Linked DNA regions of Canis lupus familiaris. The protein of the gene in region 2 purifies or fractionates together with the protein of the main gene of each other region. This does not show direct contact. Links are inferred from orthologs where the notes say so. Each region holds a gene or a part of one and is shown on either strand. Other genes may lie near its edges.

Region 1 (6,264 bases), on a different chromosome or scaffold from region 2:
GTTTTTTTACTTAGGTTTTTGGTTTTATTGGGGGTACAAATTTTGTATATGTGCTGCTGAAGTGAGCATGGGGGTGGGGCTTAAATTTTAGAGCAAAATTTTGTGCTAATAGCTCTGTAGGCATTAGTCAAAGAGCAAGCCTCAGGTGTATCTCTTTGTATTACTGTCTTGCAGAGTAAGAGATGTAATTAAAAATAATGAGAAATCATAGAACTGCTTTCTGTCTGACCAGCTCCCCCTCTGTCCAATGGGGAAGTAGTTTCAGTAAGACAGACCATTTTGTTAGTAGTGAGGTAGCTTTCAAATCAAGAAACATGTTCTGTAGATACATCCTAACTTTGAAATTCATAGATGTTGGTGGATTCTGTTAGGGATGCAAAGCTGTGATACACAAGCATTTAAGATCCAAGAGAACAATTTGATCTTTATCCATACTCCTTTATTACAAGTTGATTGGAATACAAAAAGTGAAGCTTTGTGTAAGTGAAAATATTTCTTGATATTTTTGTTTTTGATGCTTGTGTTTTCGAAAACACAAATTATAGGGTTGACCTATAATTCCTACCAATTGAAGATCTTAGTTTTCTTATGTTTAAATTTCTTCTGTGATCAAAATAAGCTTTGAAGAGTTTCAGTTCTTTAGATTAGGAAATTTAATTTATTTAGTCCCTAGATAAAGTTTGGCAATATGAAGGTTTTTTTTTTTTTTTTTTTTTTTTTTTTTTACACGTTACCTTTTTTCCCCCACTTCACTTTTCGAAGAAAAAGCTGATTGGGGAGTACTAGTATTAATGTCTTTCTGCTTATCAGAACTTCTTGTGATTATGATTTGATCTCTTGATATTTAAAAAAAAAACTTGCTAATTGTGATTTTCAAATATTCCAGCATGATACTATTCAGCCCATATAAGAATACTTTTTATTGGGCAGCCCCGGTGGTGCAGCGGTTTGGCGCCGCCTGCAGCCTGGGGTGTGATCCTGGAGACCCGGGATCGAGTCCCACGTCGGGCTTCCTGCATGGAGCCTGCTTCTCCCTCTGCCTGTGTCTCTGCCTCTCTCTCGTTCTCTCTGAATGAATGAATAAATAAAATCTTTTTTTTTAAAAAAAGAATACTTTTTATTGAGATATGGTATGCAGTAGGTTTCATTATGTAATGATGGATTAACAGGATATTTCAAAGTTTACAACTAAGAGTGGCATATTTTTATGTGAGAATCAGAATTATCGGCAGTGAATAAACATGATTAATATTTGAGGCAAAATACATGGTATTACATCTAACATTTAAAATTCCAAGTTTCAAAACAACCTTGATTAACATTATACAACATTTTTTTTTTTCCAGGAAGACTTGTGGATCAGAATCTGAACAAAATTGGGAAAGATGAAATGCTTCAAATGATTAGACATGGGGCAACACATGTATTTGCTTCAAAAGAAAGTGAGATTACTGATGAGGATATTGATGGTATCTTGGAAAGAGGTGCAAAGAAGGTGAGGTGTAGATTAAATGATTATGTTTTTAATATAAAATCTTTTAAATCAGAACTGTTTGAGGAAATACGTATGTGAGCCATAAAAAGGAGTTTTTGTGTACTGCAGAGCCTAACTTATTTTGACTACAGTTCTCAAGGTTTTTTTTTGTTTTGTTTTTAATTCTCAATATAATAAAGTGGTTTTTTACCCCTAGACTGCAGAGATGAATGAAAAGCTCTCCAAAATGGGTGAAAGCTCACTTAGAAACTTTACAATGGATACAGAGTCGAGTGTTTATAACTTTGAAGGAGAGGATTATAGAGAAAAACAAAAGGTAACTTGAGAAAGCTATTTTGGTTACTTGAAGGCCTTACTTTACTTAAAACTTGCGATTTTAAGTGTTAGCTGTAACACCTTGTAAATTTGTCTCCAAGCAGTCATTTTTATATATTCACATCTAAATTATTTTCATTTTTACATGTAATATCAAATTTTCAGTTAGTAATCTCTGAAATGTTTTAAAAGCTTATGTAATGAGGCTTACTATATACACTGTTAGAGTTGAAATATATTGTAGGGGTGATTATAATTTAGAATCTTTGAAAACAAATAATTGGCAGAATTAACATAACCTTACTAGATTTTTTTTAAAAGACATAATTGGCTGGTAGTGATTAAAGGGGAAAAACTTCGTAATTTCTTAAGTAATATTTGTTAATATATAGTGAAATTAGAAAATACAAGTTGGAAGAAAAATAGTTCTACTCAATGTTTTTTCTGTTAACATTTAAGCTTTGTATATCCTCTGGATTTGTTCTAGGCTAAATACATATCTATATTTTTCTCCTAGTTTGAGTTATAGCATTTTCTGTAGGTCTGGTCCTTCCTCCTCCTCACCAGATAAAATGTTCTCCATTTGGTCAAGAAATACTTAAGTATATCTTTGCTATTCACCATGTACTGTGCAGTGTATTAATTACATAGTTTTGAGCAAAGTATAGTCCCTTATCCTTGAAGAGCCAATGGTCCAGGATTTTATGAATATCTTGCCACTTACAAATAACAGTTGTAATGATGTATACACAGTATGAATTGCATTCATCTAAGATTTGTGACTGTAAACAGTCAAAGTTGGTGATTTGCATTGTTTCCTGTATGCTAGATTGCATTCACAGAGTGGATTGAACCACCTAAACGAGAAAGAAAAGCCAACTATGCTGTCGATGCCTATTTTAGGGAAGCTCTTCGTGTCAGCGAACCTAAAGCACCCAAGGTGAGTTGATGGAGCAATAAAATATCCAAAAATACTAGAATTGTAAATATTTTTCTTATATTCTTAATATTAAAGTTAGATTGAGAATTAAAATCTTCTGTGGCTTCTTACAGTGTATTTCCATCAGTTTTCATTAAAAAGTTTTCTTAAAAATTAGTTGTAAGTATATGCATTTAAAGTTTGATTAATGTTCACTATTAATGATAAATTCAGTTGCTTGGAGAATTAGCCATCATAAGTTTTGAGAGAGGAAGTTACAATTAAAATCAAAGCAAAACTTTTTTTTTTATGGGTAATACTGTGTTTTGTTTTTTTTTTTTCTCTAGGCTCCTCGGCCTCCAAAACAACCTAATGTTCAGGATTTCCAGTTCTTTCCTCCACGTTTATTTGAATTATTGGAAAAAGAAATTCTGTATTACAGAAAAACAATTGGGTACAAGGTAATGGAAATAACATTTTGTTCATAACTAACCTGGTTTTGTTCTTAATTTAGTAAATGGAGGGTATATCAAGTTTTTTTTTTTTTTTTTCACGGTTGGATTAAAACTTGTAAAACGTTATTTGGTTGGTTAAGAATTTAGGGCAGCCCCGGTGGCGCAGCGGTTTGGCTCCGCCTGCAGCCCAGGGTGTGATCCTGGAGACCCGGGATCGAGTCCCACATCGGGCTCCTTGCATGGAGCCTGCTTCTCCCTCTGCCTGTGTCTCTGCCTCTCTCTCTCTCTCTCTCTGTGTCTCTCATGAATAAATAAATAAAATTAAAATCTTAAAAAAAAAAAAAAAAGAATTCATCACATACTTTCTAAAATCTACTGATGGATGATATAAACAAATATTTTTTTAGGTGCCTCGAAATCCTGACCTACCAAATGCAGCACAGGCACAAAAAGAAGAACAGCTTAAAATTGATGAAGCTGAACCCCTTAATGATGAAGAGTTAGAGGAAAAAGAGAAACTTCTAACACAGGTATATATAGTCTTTATTCAACATAAAATTTAGTGTAACCATTACTTTGTAAGGGTACTATGCTTAGGTATGTTGGGGTACACAGAGAAGTACATGTTTTGTCTTTCAAAAAGTAAGTAATTGAAGATGATAAAGCATGAGCCATATGGGTGTATGCTACAGTTTGATTGTCACTAGTTGTTGAAGTAGAGAAAGAGTATAGATTTGCGCAAGCCTTACAGTGGATATGTTTTTTATTACGTTTCTTCCAGTATTCATTTTCTTTTCCTGTGAATCTTCCACATTGGTACTAAGTTACTGTTCTCAATTACAAGTCTCTTTTTGGTACTTTTTTGTTTAACAACCTTTAGGGTTTAATCAGGATCTTTTAGAATCTGGCCTTAACGTACTTTTGAAGCTTTATTTTTCTTCCACTTTCCTAATTGTTATTTCTTTGCTCTTTAGTGTATGTTTATTGCTCTTTGCAAACTCCTGCTTATCCTTCAAAATACCGCAAAATCACTTTCTCACAAAATCTCTTTTTCACAAAGCATTCCTCTCTTCCACTCAGATTTAATTGCTTGGTTATGTAAACAATATGTGATATATTGCTAAAAATACAGATCTATGTGTATGAAAAATTACCACTTTAAAATAACTTAAAATCTAGGAGTAATTGAAAATTTTCTAATACTTCAGACATACTCGTAAGTGAAATAGCATTTTACCCATGTTCACTCTGCTGTTATTATATGTTTTGTTTCCATTGCTTTGAAGGGATTTACCAATTGGAATAAGAGAGATTTTAACCAGTTTATCAAAGCTAATGAGAAGTGGGGTCGTGATGATATTGAAAATATAGCAAGAGAAGTAGAAGGGAAAACTCCAGAAGAAGTTATTGAATACTCAGGTAATTTTTAAATCATTTTAATAGATTAAAAAATATTCTCAGGTTTTTGGAGTGCTATTTGGGGAGTTCAGGTTTTATTATTCTGAGTTATGTTTTGATAAGCTAAATTTTGCCACAAGTTTTAGGGCTGTATTTTTTTTGTGTTTTTAAAAAACTGAGTTGGAAAGAAAATGTCCTCTTTTTTAAAATGGCATAGTTTTTTTTTTTTTTTTTTTTTTTCACCCCAGCTAACTGGCTATTGCCAAGAAAATAAGAATAGGTCATTGAATAATTATGCTTTCATTTTATTTTTCTCCACAACTTCTTAAGCACTATGTGCCATTGTTTCCTGAAATCACTTGAATTGTCAAGTGAAGAGGTGTAGTGTGCTGCAGTGAGTGTGCTTAGAATTCAAGAATAATAGAAATTTAAGAGTTGAGAGATACTTTTTTTTTTTTTAAAGACTTATTTATTTATTTATTTATGATAGAGAGAGAGAGAGAGAGGCAGAGACACAGGAGGAATGAGAAGCAGGCTCCATGCCAGGAGCCCGACGCGGGACCCGATCCCGGGACTCCAGGATCGCGCCCTGGGCCAAAGGCAGGCGCCAAACCGCTGAGCCACCCCAGGGATCCCCCGAGTTGGGAGATACTTAAATCATCCAGTTGATCTCATTTTTTTATAGTTGAGAAATTAAATAATCGTCTTATTTTGTAGTATTAGATGTGAGAAAAATGAAAACATTTCTTAATCCTTAGCAAATTAGAGTATTTATGATAAATTATTTATGTTTCTCCTCCTCCTTCCACCTGTCTCATCTGTCCAACTTTTATTCTTACCAGCTGTATTCTGGGAAAGATGCAATGAACTCCAGGACATAGAGAAGATTATGGCTCAGATCGAAAGGGGAGAGGCAAGAATTCAAAGAAGAATTAGTATTAAAAAAGCACTTGACACGAAGGTACAGTCTGTATTAATAAATATAGAACTTCTGAGAATATGTGAGTTAAAGGAACTTTTTAAAAGGAAATGAAATGATTTAAAACAAAGATTTTGTTCAAAGAACAATATTCAAGTGTTATAGTTATTCTCAACAGAATTTACCTTAGTATACTTCAGTTGAAATATCTGGGTCAGAGTCTCTATGATTAGCTCTTTCCTACAAAGTCTGAGCCTGTATCTCTCTCTAGAATAATAAAGATTATAAAGTTGTTTCACAGCAAAGGTTATATAATGCAGTTGAAGTGCCTTTGGATAGAAAATTCTGATTTGGAATGGAACATATTTAGCTAATTTTATTAAGGCTAAGTTTGAAATATAGATTATACAGGATTTATATTTTATATAAAATCTGACTTTGATAGATTGGACGGTACAAAGCACCTTTTCATCAGCTGAGAATATCATATGGTACTAACAAAGGAAAAAACTATACTGAAGAAGAGGATCGTTTTCTAATCTGTATGCTTCACAAACTTGGATTTGACAAAGAAAATGTTTATGATGAATTACGACAGTGTATTCGCAACTCTCCTCAGTTCAGATTTGACTGGTTTCTTAAGTCTAGAACTGCAATGGTGAGTGCCTGGGCCTTTTTGTGTAATGTAGCACAGTTTAGAGTAAGTATTGCTTAATATTCTTTAAGGTAAGTAAGGTAACTTACTAAGAGTAAATTGTGGTTC
Region 2 (6,968 bases):
AATGACATAGCACGCACCAAGTGCTAAAATCACTAGGTCATTATGGCTGAAGGCAGAGGGAAAACTTTCTAAATACTGCAAATGTCAGTAAGCCGGGTCATCTGTGACCTCTGGTCTTAGGGTCCCCTCCTCAGGAAGAACAAAGAGCAGTAAATTTCAAAACGTATGAGACTTGCACAAACATGCTATACAAGTGTACATTTTATATTTTGTAATCACTACCCAGGTGAGGGACAGAATCTGAATCAGAAAGCTGGGCAGCCCAGGTGGCTCAGTGGTTTAGCGCCGCCTTTGGCCCAGGCTGTGATCCCTGGGTCCCTGGATCGGGTCCTGTGTCGGGCTCCCTGCGTGGACTCCGCTTCTTCCTCTGCGGGTCACTCATGAATAAATAAATAAAATCTTAAAAAAAAATCAGAAAGCTTACACAATACTTTGTATTTCCCAGTCTTTTTTTTAATGAATTTTTAAAGATTTTATTTACTTATTCATGAGAGACAGACGGAGGGAGGGAGGGAGGGAAGGAGAGAGAGAGCGCAGCAGAGACACAGGCAGAGGGAGAAGCAGGCTCCATGCTGGGAGCCCGACGGGGACCTGGGACTCAATCCCAGGTCTCCAGGATCACGCCCTGGGCCGAAGGTGGCACTAAACTGCTGAGCCACCCAGGTTGCCCTAATTTTTTTTTTTTTTTAAGTAGGGCAACACGCCCAACGTGAGGCTTGAGCTCACAACCCCAAGATGAAGGGTCACATGGTCTATGCCTAGGCTGGCCAGGCACCTTTTTCCATGAACTTTGAAATCCAAGTTGATTTGATCAGGGGGTGAAAAGAACTTGCCACATGAACACTGAAACCTTACGGGGTAATTTACTTTTGGAGGGTGCTTTACAGTTCACAAAGAGCTTTCTCATTCCCATCCCCTTTGCTGCTTACCACTGACTAGGAGGGAGGTAGTGGCGGGCAGAGGGTCACTGACAGGGCGGGGACTTCGATCTTTATATGCTAGGCGCTTTCACACCTCCTAACCCCAACATCGGAGTACTCCCATCTCTGTAAATGAGGAAACGGGTTCAGCACTTGCTCTGCCTGGGGTCACACTGCTGAGTGGCAGGACAGTCCTCCCACTCTACGTCTCAGCTCCATCCAGTGGAGCAGCTTCTCCTTTCAGAAGAGCCTTTTTTTTTTTTTTTTTTTTTTTAAGATTTATTTATTTATTCATGAGAGACACAGAGAGAGGCAGACACACAGGCAGAGGGAGAAGCAGGCTCCATGCAGGGAGCCCGATTCAGGACTTGATCCCAGGACCCTCGGGTCATGCCCTGAGCCGAAGACAGATGGGCTTCCCTGCTGAGCCACCGAGGTGTCCGTCAGAAGAGCTTTTGACCGGCTTCATGGACACCCAAACTCTTGGTTTTCCTTTTATTCAATGGTCAGTTCCTCCCGGCCTTCCTCCTTTGCTGGATTTTCCTTCTCTCTGCCACTTTGAAATGCTGCGGTGGGACTGTTTCACTCCATCTACACTCTTCTCCTGAATGCATTCATTCAAGGTCACCGTTTTAACTACCTAGACAATGTGTGCAGGCTGAGAGAATTAGGGCCATTCAAGTTTAACATTGGCCCAAGTACAGCCATTGTAGCTTCGGTAGCCATCTCCGGCCACTGTGACCAGGCCACTGTGACCAGGTCCTGAATCCACCTTACCCCAGCTACAGTAAAAAACACAAAGCACGGCCTTATTCGGAATAAGGAAGCAAGAGCTTGTGAGACCTCTTTACTGGAGATTCTCACACATACCCCCCCTTACTGAAAAACCCCACCTTACCCCTAGAGCAGTCCATAAAAACCCAGCTGTAACACATCTTGGGGTCCAAGTCCCTGCTCCGCTGTGTTGGGTATACTTGGACCCAAGCTTGAGCTTGCTAATAAACCCTCGTGTGTTTGCATCGGTGTTGGCTCCTTGGTGGTTTCTCAGATTTGCAATCTTGGGCGCAACAAATGTTGGTTCCTAAATTCCGGTTCAAAAAATTAAAAACAAAACAAAACAAAAAATTCGGACTCCAGCTCAAATTCCAGGGTCTCATGTCCAATTTTCCGCTCAGCACCACCACTAGTGTTTGGCAATTAAAGCTTAACGTCCTCCAAACCAGACCTCTCCCCAAAGCTGCTCCTGGGGCAGTGCTCCCCATCTTGGCACGTGGCACCGCCATCCCGCCCCTCATTCCCATCCCACCGGCAGGTCGTGGTGGCTCTAACCTCGGAGGTCTCTAACCCGAGTCCTGCCCGAACCTTGGAGGTTTCTAGCGTGAATCCTCCCCACACCTCGGAGGTCTCTAACCCGAGTCCTTGCCTGAACCCCGAGGTCTCTAACCCGAGTCCTGCCTGAACCCCAGAGGTCTCTAACCCGAGACCTCCCTGAACCCCGGAGGTCTGTAACACGAATCCTCCCCACGCCCCGGAGGTCTCTAACCCGAGACCTCCCCGAACCCCGGAGGTGTCTAACCCGAGTCCTGCCCGAACCCCGGAGGTCTCTAACCCGAGTCCTTCCCAGCGCCTCACTGGGGCCTGGCAACAGCCTCCTCGCCGCGCTGCTTCCCTTCTTGCCCCCCCCCCCCCCCCGCGCCTCCTTCCTCTCCCCAGGGCTTCTGGGCTCACTGGGAAGAACTCCGAGATCCACAAAGCCCTGGCTGCCTCCGACTCCGTTCTCCCAGCTCACCGCCCCTTAGCCACGCCGGCATCTCCTCCCCGCCCCCCGCCCAAGTACGGCGTGATTCACGCAGGACTTGAACTCCCCGCCCCGAGCTCAAGACCTGAGCTGAGGATGCTCGGCCGCCCCGGGCACACCGCAGCTTGTCCGCGGCCTCCGCCTTCTACTCTGCCCCCCGCTCGCACCCTCCCCGCTCCGCCCCGCGCCGCTCACGGCAGCCAGAGGGATCCCGGAACTCGCCCGACAGATCCCTTCGGCCGCTTCCCACTTAGAACAAGAGCCAGCAGAGCCGAGGCTCCCTCGCAGTCCTGCTGCAGCACACCGGGCTCCCGGAGCGGCTCCAGCCCTGGGCCTGCGCCGGCGTGGACCCCGCCGCGAGGCAGCGCCTTCTCGGGGCCCCCCGCCCGGTATCTCCGCGGACCCCGCTGCGCGATCGCCGCCGAGCCCCCGGGTCCCGCACCGCGCAGGCAGGCCGGCCCCCGGCGGGAAGCCCCGCCCCCGCCCCCCGGCGCGCGGCATCTCGGGATTTGTAGTCCGGCCCCGGAAGGGCAGGCGCCCGCCCCCGCGGCCGCGCCTCCCCGACACTACAACTCCCACGGGGCAGCGGGACGCCGCTCCCGCACCCTCCAGGCCGGCAGGCCGCCTGCCTCGCGGCGGGTTCGGCGGCCGCCGCGGGGCGGGGCGCGAAGATGGCGGACGCGGTCGCTGGCAGAGACAAGTGCGGGGAGCCGCGGCTCGTGTCACTGCCCCTGTCCCGCATCCGGGTCATCATGAAGAGCTCGCCCGAGGTGTCCAGCATCAACCAGGAGGCGCTGGTGCTCACGGCCAAGGCCACGGTGAGGCGGGCCGCGCGGGAGGACGGAGGGGCGGGGGGCCGCCCGGAACCGTCGCGCCCCCCTCCCGACCCCCCCCACCCCGGCCGCGGGGCGCGCGCCCTCCGCCCCGCCCGCCGTCCCCCTCCTCCTCCTCCTCCTCGGCGCGCCTTCCGCCCACCCACTCGGCTTGCCTCGCTGCCCCGCGCAGCTCCCGCCCTCCCCCGCGCGCCCTCCGCCCCGCCCACCGCGCGCCGCTCCCGCCCTCCCCCGCGCGCCCTCCGCCCCGCCCCCCGCTCCCGTCCGCCCTCGCGCGCCTATCGCCTACCCGCTCCTCCGTCTGCGGCGCCGCGCCCGGCCCGCGCAGCTCCCGTCCTCCCTTGCGCGCCCTCCGGCCCGCCCGCCGCGCCGTTCCCGCCGTCCCCCGCGCGGGCCCCCGCGCCTTCCCGTCCCCCGCGTGCGGCCTGTGCCTTGGGTTTCGGGTTCCGGCGGCTCGGGGGAGGGGGCGGGGCCTCCCGCGCCTCATCAGCGCCCGTGGTACCTGCGCGCGCCCAGGTGCACCTGCCTGCATCTTAGCGCCCCGGGCCCTGTGTCGGCTGCGGTTCTGCCCGCGCGCGGTGTCCCTGGGCTCGGGCCTCCGCCGCTGGGGGCCGGGGGGCTCCGTGCTCCCGGGGTCCCGGGGATCTTCCTTCTGTTTCCCGTTAAAGGGTAGAGTTGAGTGAGCCCTAGAGGCCCAGAGCCCCCGGGCGCCTGCGTCACCCGGACATCACCCGCGCCTTCACGCCTCCTTGGGTTGAGAGCCCCGGAGGGAGAGCGTCCCCAGCAGCCTTGGCCTCGGGGTGCTCGGTGTCCCCGCCCGGCACGTCCCGCCTGCGAGGGTGAGGGCGCGGGGCGCGGGGCGCGGGCGGGCGCTAGGACCCCTCCCTCCCGGGCCCGGAGGGCGTTAGAGTGAGGAGCGGTGACCTCGAGGCTCCAGGCTCCGCTCAGGCGGTTGCTTTAGGGAAGGTGTTTGGGCAAATGGGGAAACGTTGTAGGGAACCGGCTGAGACGCGGTGCTCGAGGAGAAGGCCGACTGCGCTGGGTCAAGGAGGCAAGTTGGGAGTGGACCGAGCTGCAGTCCTTGCACACTTCCAACCCACGGCTGAATGCCTGGTCAGCGTTTTGCCTGCATTAGGAATCTAAAATGGCTTTAGGGCAATGCCTGCTTCCCCACCGGCTTTGACCCCCGCGGGCTTCCTGTAACTGGAGAACCCAAGATAATCTGCAGTCTGGTCACCTAAGCCTTAATGTAATTTAAAAAATTAAGTTCTGCGGTAGGTTTTTAGAGCATACCTTTCATTTTACTTTTTCGTTTTGTTTTAGGAACTCTTTGTTCAGTATCTAGCCACCTATTCCTACAGACATGGCAGCGGAAAAGAAAGGAAAGCTCTCACCTACAGTGATTTATCAAACACTGCAGAGGAATCGGAAACTTTTCAGTTTCTTGCAGGTACTCAGTCTTTGAGACATTCTGGTTAAAACATACATAGTAATTTACACCTTTTTTTTCTTTCCTTCTATTTTTTCTCCTGTTTTCACTGAAATAGACAATTTTTTTTTTTTTTTTTTTTTTTTTTTTTGCTGCTTTCTCCAGGTGCCAAAGTTTACCATGACCTGGCACAGGAAGACATTTGTAGTTTTGTCAGAGTATGTTTGTAATGTGGTTCACCTAGAATGGTAACGAAGTCAGCAACCTGCACAGGGATGTTTGGCTGGGTGGCTGGGTGGCTGGGGGAGCCTGGCTGACCCACCCCTCAGACTCCTTATCACTGAAGGGAAAACTCTGGGCTGGTCTACGTGGCCCTAAGAGCAGAGAAAGTAATAGTTGTGGACAGGCTGTGGGGGCCACAGCTGTAAAGAGCTTCCATCTGCCTCCGAGGCCAGTCGGCATGTCTCAGGTAGGTGGGCAGACTTGCTCATCACCAGCACATACAGGAGCACATAATTTGCAGTCCGTGGAGTGGAAACAGGTCTTTGGCAGGAGTCAGGAGGCAATACTTGTTTCCTGCTATTTCACCCAGAAGCATGGTCGGAATTTTGTCTTGTTTTGGAAACTGTTCTAGAGTTCAAAGCAGAAACTAGCACATTTTGAAATTTGCATTGCTGTGTTCGTGGTCTGCCAAAACCAATTGCTGATGTTAGCTTTATATTTTTAAGATATATTACCAAAGAAGATTTTAGCTAGTAAATATCTGAAAATGCTTAAAGAGAAGAGGGACGAGGACGAGGAGAATGACAGCGATGATGGGAGTGACGGGGACGAAGCAGAATCCTAGACCAAACAGGAAGTGCTTTAGAAATCACCCTGCTGAGGACCCTCCTGGATTAGCAGCATTGCTTGGAAGTAAGCACAGCGCTGTGTGACTTTAGACTCCTCACTTCTCAGAGACTTCAAGTACATTGGATTTCTTCCTGGCTAAGATAGAGCACCTGTTGTGCCCACATCACAAATGGCCAGAAGAAAAGTGACCCAGACAGCAGCCTCTCTGAGGGGCCCGCACTGCAGTTCGGGGGCACAGAGGCACCAAGAAAGCTGCCTGTATGGTCAGGCACTGCCAGTTGATCTGCTGCAGCTGAAAGCTGTGGAGGCAGACAATTTTGCTTCACTTTTTAATTTACAGATGATAGATTTTGAAGAGCTTCTAAATACCAGTTGTATAAATTCATAGATGTATATCTGGAAATTAGTTCTTGTAAACAACTAGATGTAGTTTGAGCTAAATACATAGTATATGGGTAGTATGTTACATTTGAAAATTTAATGATTTGTTCAAATACTACAATTTTATTAACTGTAAAGAAATAAAATTTCTTTATTAGAAGCTGTACATAGTTTTAGTCAATGCTTTGTGGAACTAGTTTTGGAGCTCTCTATTCTAATGTCTTGCATATTATCTGAGAAGTCTGCAAAATTTAAAAATAAGCGTTTCTAATACTTTCATTCTCGGAAGAAAAAAAACTCAATTAAATCAAATACGAAAAGAAATATAATCTCTGTATAAACATATTTCTCTTAAAAACATTTTATTTTTTTATTTTTATTTTTTCTTAAAAAACATTTTAAAACATGTTGTATATTGAAAATCTCTCAGGGCGCCTGGGTGGCTCAGTCAGTTGAGCATCTGCCTTTGGCTCAGGTTATGATTTCAGGGTCCTGGGATCAAGTCCCACATTGGGCTCCCTGCTCAGCAGGGATCTGCTTTTCCCTCTGCCTCTGCTCCTTCTCAAGTAAATAAATAAAACTTAAAAGAAAATGTCTTATTTTACTGTTCCTTTCTTTATACTCAAATTGTTTTTATTCTTCACAGAGAAAACTACAAGCCCTATTTTTTTTTCCCCCACATAGGGTAAATTTTTGGCTGTTTTTTTAGTCTCTCTCTCTTTTTTTAAAAAGTTGAATTAGGGCAGCCTGGGTGG

What was found.
Region 1: the proteins of CHRAC1 (region 2) and SMARCA5 fractionate together in Homo sapiens (co-fractionation; 5 studies listed by BioGRID and IntAct, with this or other methods). This does not show direct contact. The link is inferred for Canis lupus familiaris from reciprocal best matches to the Homo sapiens genes CHRAC1 and SMARCA5.

Annotation. Positions count from the first base shown.
Region 1 is NC_049236.1:43,053,107-43,059,370, forward strand, and holds part of SMARCA5 (SWI/SNF-related matrix-associated actin-dependent regulator of chromatin subfamily A member 5), read left to right. Parts: intron 1-1,346; coding exon 1,347-1,495; intron 1,496-1,691; coding exon 1,692-1,811; intron 1,812-2,639; coding exon 2,640-2,750; intron 2,751-3,076; coding exon 3,077-3,190; intron 3,191-3,591; coding exon 3,592-3,714; intron 3,715-4,470; coding exon 4,471-4,603; intron 4,604-5,424; coding exon 5,425-5,543; intron 5,544-5,946; coding exon 5,947-6,159; intron 6,160-6,264. UniProt on the Homo sapiens protein: ATPase that possesses intrinsic ATP-dependent nucleosome-remodeling activity.
Region 2 is NC_049234.1:35,772,595-35,779,562, forward strand, and holds CHRAC1 (chromatin accessibility complex protein 1), read left to right. Parts: upstream 1-3,306; 5' UTR 3,307-3,389; coding exon 3,390-3,536; intron 3,537-3,840; exon of another isoform or gene 3,841-3,913; intron 3,914-4,874; coding exon 4,875-5,001; intron 5,002-5,145; coding exon of another isoform or gene 5,146-5,210; exon of another isoform or gene 5,211-5,702; intron 5,703-5,708; coding exon 5,709-5,827; 3' UTR 5,828-6,379; downstream 6,380-6,968. UniProt on the Homo sapiens protein: Forms a complex with DNA polymerase epsilon subunit POLE3 and binds naked DNA, which is then incorporated into chromatin, aided by the nucleosome remodeling activity of ISWI/SNF2H and ACF1.